Coturnix japonica: one gene and its partner. The protein of the gene in region 1 binds, or shares a complex with, the protein of each later gene. Links are inferred from orthologs where the notes say so. Each region holds a gene or a part of one and is shown on either strand. Other genes may lie near its edges. The genes, in order: LRRC7 and CAMK2A.

What was found.
Region 2: the proteins of LRRC7 (region 1) and CAMK2A are in contact, whole or in part, in a crystal structure (PDB 6X5G), measured with the Homo sapiens proteins. The link is inferred for Coturnix japonica from reciprocal best matches to the Homo sapiens genes LRRC7 and CAMK2A. Residues at the interface, in NP_001357714.1 of Homo sapiens: His843, Gly844, Arg845, Arg846, Pro847, Leu848, Ile849, Arg850, Gln851, Asp852, Arg853, Ile854, Val855; in NP_001350919.1 of Homo sapiens: Glu96, Phe98, Glu99, Ile101, Val102, Lys137, Glu139, Leu159, Phe173, Ala174, Gly175, Thr176, Pro177, Gly178, Tyr179, Leu180, Ile205, Gly209, Tyr210, Pro211, Pro212, Phe213, Trp214, Tyr222, Gln224, Pro233, Glu236.

What each region holds. Positions count from the first base shown.
Region 1 is NC_029523.1:25,948,011-25,952,338, forward strand, and holds the start of LRRC7 (leucine-rich repeat-containing protein 7), read left to right. Parts: upstream 1-1,473; 5' UTR 1,474-1,850; intron 1,851-2,396; exon of another isoform or gene 2,397-2,503; 5' UTR 2,504-2,571; intron 2,572-4,328. Other genes in the region: DEPDC1 (DEP domain-containing protein 1A), read right to left, coding at 185-326, 516-781, 1,300-1,344.
Region 2 is NC_029528.1:4,858,663-4,862,309, reverse strand, and holds part of CAMK2A (calcium/calmodulin-dependent protein kinase type II subunit alpha), read left to right. Parts: intron 1-470; coding exon 471-519; intron 520-1,098; coding exon 1,099-1,174; intron 1,175-1,867; coding exon 1,868-1,962; intron 1,963-2,464; coding exon 2,465-2,697; 3' UTR 2,698-2,702; intron 2,703-2,874; 3' UTR 2,875-3,647. UniProt on the Homo sapiens protein: Calcium/calmodulin-dependent protein kinase that functions autonomously after Ca(2+)/calmodulin-binding and autophosphorylation, and is involved in various processes, such as synaptic plasticity, neurotransmitter release and long-term potentiation.

The DNA of each region.
Region 1 (4,328 bases):
GAACTGCACCTTTCTATCAAACCTATACCAATACTCTTCTGCTGTCCAGAAGAACCTACCGGCTTATTCCTGCAAGGGAATGAAACACAACTGTGTCCCTAAAGGACTGTGTGGGGTTTTTGCTTTGCTTTAAATGACAAAGGCAATAAGTGTCAGCTAAGATTAGGTAAGAACTGTGTTATACCAGAGGTGTCAGCACTTCCTGCTTTTTCGGAGTTCTCCGTGATAAATGTGGCAGCTTCAGGAGTCGATCTCTAGAGGTTTCTAAGTTCCCACTTTGGCGACATGAAGCCGGCAGAGGTTTAACTGGAGAGGTTGAAGGAAACCTGGAATTAATAGGAAAGACATTAAAGGCGTTTAGAACATAAAGAAAAGCACAACCTGAAGCCATCCCTTACCAGCAGGGTGTGATAAGATTCTGAGGAGACTCAGGGAATTAAAATTGCTCATTTTTTCCCCTAAGAACATTGATTATCGTTATATAAAGCATACATCAATGATGTTCATGTCAGTACCTGTAGAGCGCCCCGTTATCCTCCAAGCTTTCCGACCCCCACCGCCCTTTGATATCCTCAATGATGTGATTCTTGAGGAACTTCCTCAGCAGTTGCACCGTCTGCTGCCTGCTCACTTCGGGCCCGAAGCTGCTGCTGCTCCTCAGCACCTGGTGCAGCCAGTCCGCAGCTTCGGAGGCGGTGAAGCAGCTGCTGTGCTTCTTCAGGTGCTGCCGGTGCGAGCGCAGCGGCATCCCGGCTCGGAAATACCGGGTGATCTCATTCCACTGCGGGGACACAAAGACACGAAGGTTAAAGCTGAAAGTTGGTAACAGTGAACAGCAGTAAAACAAAGCGGTGGGAGCAAAGTCAGGCTGAAGTGTAACAAATAGGAACGGTGTCAATGCATCGCTTAATAGAGACGTGCAGGCAGCACTCGGCATCTGCAGAGCGGCTGTAAGGAGGAAGGGGGCGGGCCGTGAAGCAGGGGCTGCTGTGATAGGGCGGGGAGGGGGTTTAATGTAGAAAAGGGCAGATTTAGGTCGGACTGAAGGCTCTGTGTGCTCAGGGCGGGGAGGCGGCGGCTGCACAGGGCCCTTCCCACAGCTGCCGTGCCGCCAACAGCCCCGAGCGCGTCACCCTCGCTTAGAGAGGCCTCCATGAACGCAGACCGTCCCCCCGCCGGCCCCTGGCTCACAGCGGGGCCATGGCTCACAGCGGGCCTTGCTCTGCCCCCCGTCCCGTCCCGTCCCGCCCCGTCCCGTCCCGCCCCGTCCCGTCCCGTCCCGTCCCGTCCCGCTCTCACCAGCTCGGTTGCTCGGTACGGACCCGGCGCTGACGGACGCTCCATGGCTCCGCCGGGGGCGCCCAACCGCCGCGCGGTTTGAATTTGCTGCGCGGCCGCTGATTGGGCGAGAGGGCGGGCGCGTGCCCGGAGCGGGACGGCTGCGGCCTGCGGGCGGGATGGAGCGGGGCTGCGCTGAGGGGCGGGACGGGGCGATCCGCCATCGAGGGGCGGCAGAATGAACATCCATCCCTGCCCTTGAGTTGGAATAGAAGGGGATTTTAAGGCATAAATGAGTAGATGGTGGAGGCTGCAGGTGATAACAGCAGCTCCTAAGGAGCAGGGACAGGCAATACGTGTGCACTGTGGAACAGGGCACTGCATGGATCCAAGTCAAGGTTTAATTTCCATCTCTGTCCCTCTGCTAAAGGCACTTTCTAACTGTAAAGGCACCTTCCAATTTTCCCGTGCCTTCATTCACTTCTATTCCTCTTTTCCACGTTCTCACCCATTGCACTGAATGACAAAGACAATACTCAGTTACTCCAGACTAAATTGAATCACTGCTCTGGGTGAGTTTCCTTTGTTATTCATTACCTGACTCCCTGCACAGTCAGTGCTGTATTAGCTGCTCTGCTACGTGCTGAGCATAAGAGTCCTTGAGATGGATGTATCCACACAGCACAGTACTAAGAGTGCTGAGGACCTCCCATGTTATCTGTGAATGTTCTTCTTTCAACTCAGTTAAATTCCCAGGTTAAAAAAAGGAGAGAAGTACGCCCTCCTGATCTGTCAGAACTGGCTGCTGTACCTGGGGGCTCAGAAGAAGAGAGGGCAAGGAAAGGAAGGGCTGAGGGGCTGCTCCTGCTCTGCAGGAGGCTGGGAGGGGTGGCCAGAATAACCCCTGGGTTTTAGGTTTTCATGCACGTCAAGTTTCAAACGTTCAAGTTTTGAGTTTAAGGGGACAGTTTCTATGCTTACAGTGTGCGAAATAAACCTGCCTGATATCGAGTGAAATGAAACAAAAAGCAGGAAGGTGTTTGAGGCTTGAAGGATGCACACTCTTTGAGTTGCTCAGCTGTCTTCTGTGCTACAATTCGGGTCCCAGCTGCAGCTGTTCTCTCTGCTGAGAGTGGGGTCTCTCCCAGGTGTGTTGATTAGCAGAAGTAAGTAATAAGACCATAAAGCTTAACAGCTGCTCTCGTGTCTGGTTCTTGTTGGTAAGGTGCCGAGGTCATTGCAGCAGCCATCCTGATGTTAACCACCAGGACTGTACACCTTCCCTTGGGCCAGGTAGGATAAACATTGCTCAGTTCCTTCTCTTGTCTGGGTGCTGTTCCTCCTGGATGTGCTTTAAGTAGCTGTTCTGTAGTGGGTCACCACAGCGCAGTGATGTTCTGTAGGAGTGGTAAAGAGGAGTCGTGAAGTCTTCAGTGCTGTTTGTTTTTACGGTGATGCAGCCTCTGATCTTGTAGGAGTTTCTTTCATGTTATAACTTAAATGTAAACTCTTCCTAATGCTGGCTCAAATGAAATTGTTACCGAAACACTCTTGGAGCTGAAACAACAAACAAGGGGCGTTTTCTTATTAATATTAACTGCTTTAAAAGACTGAAAGATCTTTCAAGCGGATGGGAGAATTGAGCTTAACAGAATGTAAGTGTTAGTGTCACAAATAGTCATATAACAAATGTTGTCCCACTGTAGGGCGATGTGTGCTGGGAGCCTTTTTGCAAGAGATCCTTTATGGTGCACTAAATACGTGCAAACAGTGGGTATGAAGTTGTGTGATCCCTGGATTTTCAGCCCCACTGAGCTCAGAGCTCAGCTCATTGGGGTTAGTTCCAAGTACCATTTCAAAGGCTGGTAAAAATGTTTAATCTATAATTAACAACCTGGTGCTTGCAACCATCTTAGGAGAAGGCTGCAACTTTAGTGGAAATCTATTTTATTTTTAATAGGCTTTGAAGATACCATGTATGAAAATGACATATTGCTAGTTATTTCAGCTATTATGCTTGAAGTGATTAAGTACTGATACTGTGTGCATCTGAAGGTCTAGTTGTAAATAGAGTCTTTGCAAGCAAAGGCATGAAATGCTCTGGATTCAAGCAATTAATACAGATGGTTTACGGCCCGGGGTGTTTTTTGAAGTAATCCTAAATTAGAACCCTTTTGCTTTGCCTTTCATATATTATTTATTATCCTGCCAAAGGTTCTTTATATACTGGATCATGATATATTCATAAATTCGTGCGCTTTTTTTCTCCCTAGTCATTTGGCTGAAGACTTAATTAAATGGTGGCTGCTCGGTGTAGTTTGGTGCAGGGGGTCAGCTGGGTGCACTTCTTGCTACCTCAGCTCCACAGGAGGAGCTGCTTGCTTTGCTCTGCAGGGGCTGTGTGCTCGGTGAGGGGTCCAGCCCACTTTGCTGAAGCACAGAAGTAACTGAATATCAGTTGCTTACTGCAGCCCTGCGTGGTTCTTCCAGAGTAAGCACACGCAGGCTGTACAGGGACCAGAAATTACAGAGAAACGTCTGTAAGTCGATGGTGGCATCTCCAGCTGGAGCTCCCTGAGGTGCTGGTGGCTGGATCTGACTGAGGAGCGTGGTCTGTCCCCACAGGGCTCTGTGCCTCGTGCACCTGATGCCTGTATGCAAGTCAGCCATGCATTCATGTCCCCCTTGGGCTTCTCAGCTGGGATGAGAGTAACCATGGCTTGGTGTGGCTGCAGGCATGTCAATCTAATGTGCAGATTTGCTGATTTTTCTACCCTGTGGTGTTCTCTTTTCCTTTGCAACATTTAAATGTAAAAAAGTATTTTAGTGTTGATGCTCCCCTCAAAAGTCCTTTGGTTTATGCAATCCGCAAACCCAGTTTTTCAGAAGTACTGAGATGCTTGGAGGGGATTTAAAATTCTCAGCCATCTGGGGAGCAAGAGCTGGATTTTGCCTGTTTTTCTTATTGGTGTGTGCAGTGCTTATGGTTTGCTACATAGATCCTAAAGGTACTTTGGAATCTAACTCCTCTGTGAGTATCTACTGCTTTG
Region 2 (3,647 bases), on another chromosome or scaffold:
CTGCGGTCAGTGTGGTCTCTCACTCCTGCACAGTCCCCTCTTTCTCATCCCAGCTCCTCCTCGCTGTTAATTTGTACATCTCTCTCTATCGTACAGTCAACATGGTGTCTTCCACCCCTGCGCAGCCCCCTCCCATGCCCTCCTAGCACCCTGCCGAGCCACCCCGGACCTGCCCCCACCTCTGTGTCCCTGCAGGCATCGGTACGACAGGCAGCGCCGTGCCTGCAAGACCCTCCCGAGCCCAGTCCACGTTCCCTTGGCTCACGGCCGGGGGGGCTCGGCCAGCGCTGCTGTGCTCGAGCAGTGGTGGAGGACGGGTTGGACCTGCCGGCGTTTTCCTCGGCTGCCGTCCAGTCGCACAGCCGAGAGCTGTGGGGTCGGACTCGGGGGGCTGTCAGACACACAAGATCCTCCTGGTATGGGGAGGAGACTGGGCTCACCGTGCTGTCTCCTGTCTGTTCTTTGCTCAGGAATCGTCAGAGAGCACCAACACCACCATTGAGGATGAAGACACCAAAGGTACGCCAATGGGGGTACACCAATTGGGATACCCCAAGGCCATTAGCCTAGCAGCCCCTAATGGGGTGTTGGCTATGGGAAAGCCCAATGTCAGCACGGTGCCTTGGGGTTCCTTAGTAGCACACTGCCAGCATAGGTGGCTTCACCACTGGGAGTATCTGGGATGTTGCTGGTGAGGAGGGGAGGCTCACAAGAATGGAAACGGATGATACCATCCCTTCCTGTATTCTTGCTGAGGTCTGGGCTCCTTTGAGACCAGTGTCCCTCAGAGGGCTCAGACTCCAGGAGAAATCTCTCCTTCCTGCCCACCAGAATCAGCTTTCTAAGAATAATGCAGGGAATAATTTATCGGTGCCAATTTGTAAAGTCACTTGACTAAGCGATCTCAGCACAACACAGGACCATGTGTGTTAGTTGGGTATGTGTCCTCCCAAGGAAGGGTTCCCAGTGATGCTCTGTGCAGGACAGTCTTCCTTTACATTAGGAATGGCTTTCATGTGTCTTTTCAATAGTCTTAGCGAAAAAAAAACCAAAAACAGTGTTTTTGATTTAAATGTTTATTTTTCTTTAAACCAACAGTACGGAAGCAAGAAATCATTAAGGTGACAGAACAGCTGATTGAAGCAATAAGCAATGGTGACTTCGAGTCCTACACGTGAGTGTGTTTTGTTCTGGGCTGAGCCCAGCATCCCATTGCGAGTGCCAAAGGGCTTTGCTGCCAAGGGCAGGGTGACGTGACAGAGGGACGTGGACACTATGCAAGAGACACAGGGGACGCTGGTTTCCCAACCCCATGCTTTCTCATGCTGAGATGACCACATCTTGTTAGCACAGATGTGCCCATTTTCTGGGCTTGCAGGAAGATGAATAACTGCAAGTGTGATTTATGGTGGAAGAAGGAACATTACATCTGTGGTATCATTACACCCAGACTGCCTCAGGCTGCTTGGAAGCAGAACTGCTCTCTACTCGCTGGGCTGAAGCTCCTCAGAACACACTTCTTCTGTGTCCAAGGCCTATTTAATTAGTGCATCTGAGCGAGTGCAGGTCTGCTTCCCTGCCCCAGAGGACAGCAGCAGGGATATTTTGATACAGAGCAGAGAGAATTCATTTTTCCCTGCTGTTTTATCTCTTACAAAGAAGGCAGCAGTACTTAGGGAGGTTTAAGGGGAGGTGGTGAGTGATGGAGGGACCTGTGTCAATGGGGTCCCAGCTGAAGTTGTGGGGCTGGGAGCAAAGGGTGTGTTGGCTTCCTGTGGGGCCAGGCCAGGCTTCTGCTTGAAGATAGACTGTCTTGCTGGAAGCAATGAGATGATCTCTCCTTTCCCTCTCCCTTTCATATATCCAGGAAGATGTGTGACCCTGGGATGACTGCTTTCGAGCCTGAGGCTCTGGGGAACCTCGTGGAAGGCCTGGATTTCCACCGGTTCTACTTTGAAAACCGTAAGCTGCCCCTTGCCTCCTGAGGAGCCCTTCCTACCTTCCACTATGGCTGGCTATGTCCCTACCTTCAGCAGCTTGCTGAAGAGAGGAGGCAGAAGGTGGCCTTGGGAGCATTTGGGCTGGGCTGGAAAATCCCAGCTGGTGAACAAAGAGCTGTTTGGTTAGAGTCAGAGAATCCAACCCATGCCCACCATGCCCACCAACCATGTTTCTCAGTGCCACATCTCCATATTTACTGCACGCCTCCAGGAATGGTGACTCCAATGCTCCAATTGGCTATTCCAATGCATTATCACGCACTGGAATCAATGCAGAAGAAATTCTCCTAATATCCAACCAGGTGCAACGTGAGGCCATTACGACTTGTCCTAGCTCCCTAGGTTCACCCATCCTGAGCCCATTCTGTCCTCAGTCTTCTAACCCCAGGATCTCCCCTTCCACACTGAGGAGCCACCCAAAGTCCTTCCCCTGCCTCAGTTCACCCCAATTATCCCCTTTCCAGTGTGGTCCCGGAATAGTAAGCCTGTGCACACGACGATCCTGAACCCCCACATTCACCTGATGGGAGACGAGTCTGCCTGCATCGCCTACATCCGCATCACGCAGTACGTGGACGCAGGGGGCATCCCCCGCACTGCTCAGTCTGAAGAGACCCGCATCTGGCACCGCCGGGATGGCAAATGGCAGATTGTCCACTTCCACAGATCTGGCGCGCCCTCTGTCCTACCGCAGTAAGCCCTGTGAGCATCCAGGGACTGCGACTGGGGGCACATGGGGTGGGAGGGTGGGGTCCTATCCTGATCTGTGGTGGGGAGGGGATAGTCTGTGGTCATGAGAGGGCAGTGGGAGAGGGATTCTCTGCTGGAGTGATGGTTGAAGCAACATCCTGCTCTGCTTGTTGGTGTTTTGCAGCTGAAGCACGGTCCAGCCCGTGCTGGGTTTGTCACTGACTGACTGCCAGGGGAGACCCCTCCAACTCTTCACCTACAGGACTTTGGCTGTTGGCTCTGCTGCTTGGTTCCTGCTGGAATAGCCCCTTGCTTCTCACTGCACACATGCAACGGCCTCAGCGGCACCTACAAGCATCCCATCTCCATCCCCTTTCACCGGGTCCCCTTCCTCTGCATGAACGAAGAAAAGAAAAACCATGAACCTACACCTGTGCACTTGTTGCCTACCAGGGCAAAAGCCATCACCCTGGGCTGCATGACCCCCCTGCAGTCCCATACATCCCATGGATTGGGACAGGAATCTTCATCCACCTCCATCTAAATGGCATCTCCCCAAAGAAGAGGAGGTTGTGGGGAGCTGCTCTGTGCCACACACCCTCCACACGCCGGTGGATTTTGCCTTGCTGCTATCAAGGTCCCTGCCCACTGCCCTGAGCTCATGCATCCCGGCAGCCTCGGCTGGGGAACCTGGGTTTTAAACCATTTGCAAAATTCAGCTTCTGTGCATCTTGGGTGAGGAGGGGAATGCGTGGATGGGTGAGTAAGAGTGTCCTGGTGTTTTCTCTTCCCAGGAGGGTAAGTAGATTTGCGCCTCGGTGAGTTACCAGGATGCTCTCTCTCCTTCCTCCCTTCTCTCCTGGGAGTGGGGCTGGCAAAGCTGGGAGGAAAGAGGAGAAAGGTGATCTCTATCTATCGCCACTGCCCAGAGAGCTCTCCCAGCCCCACAGGTGGGCT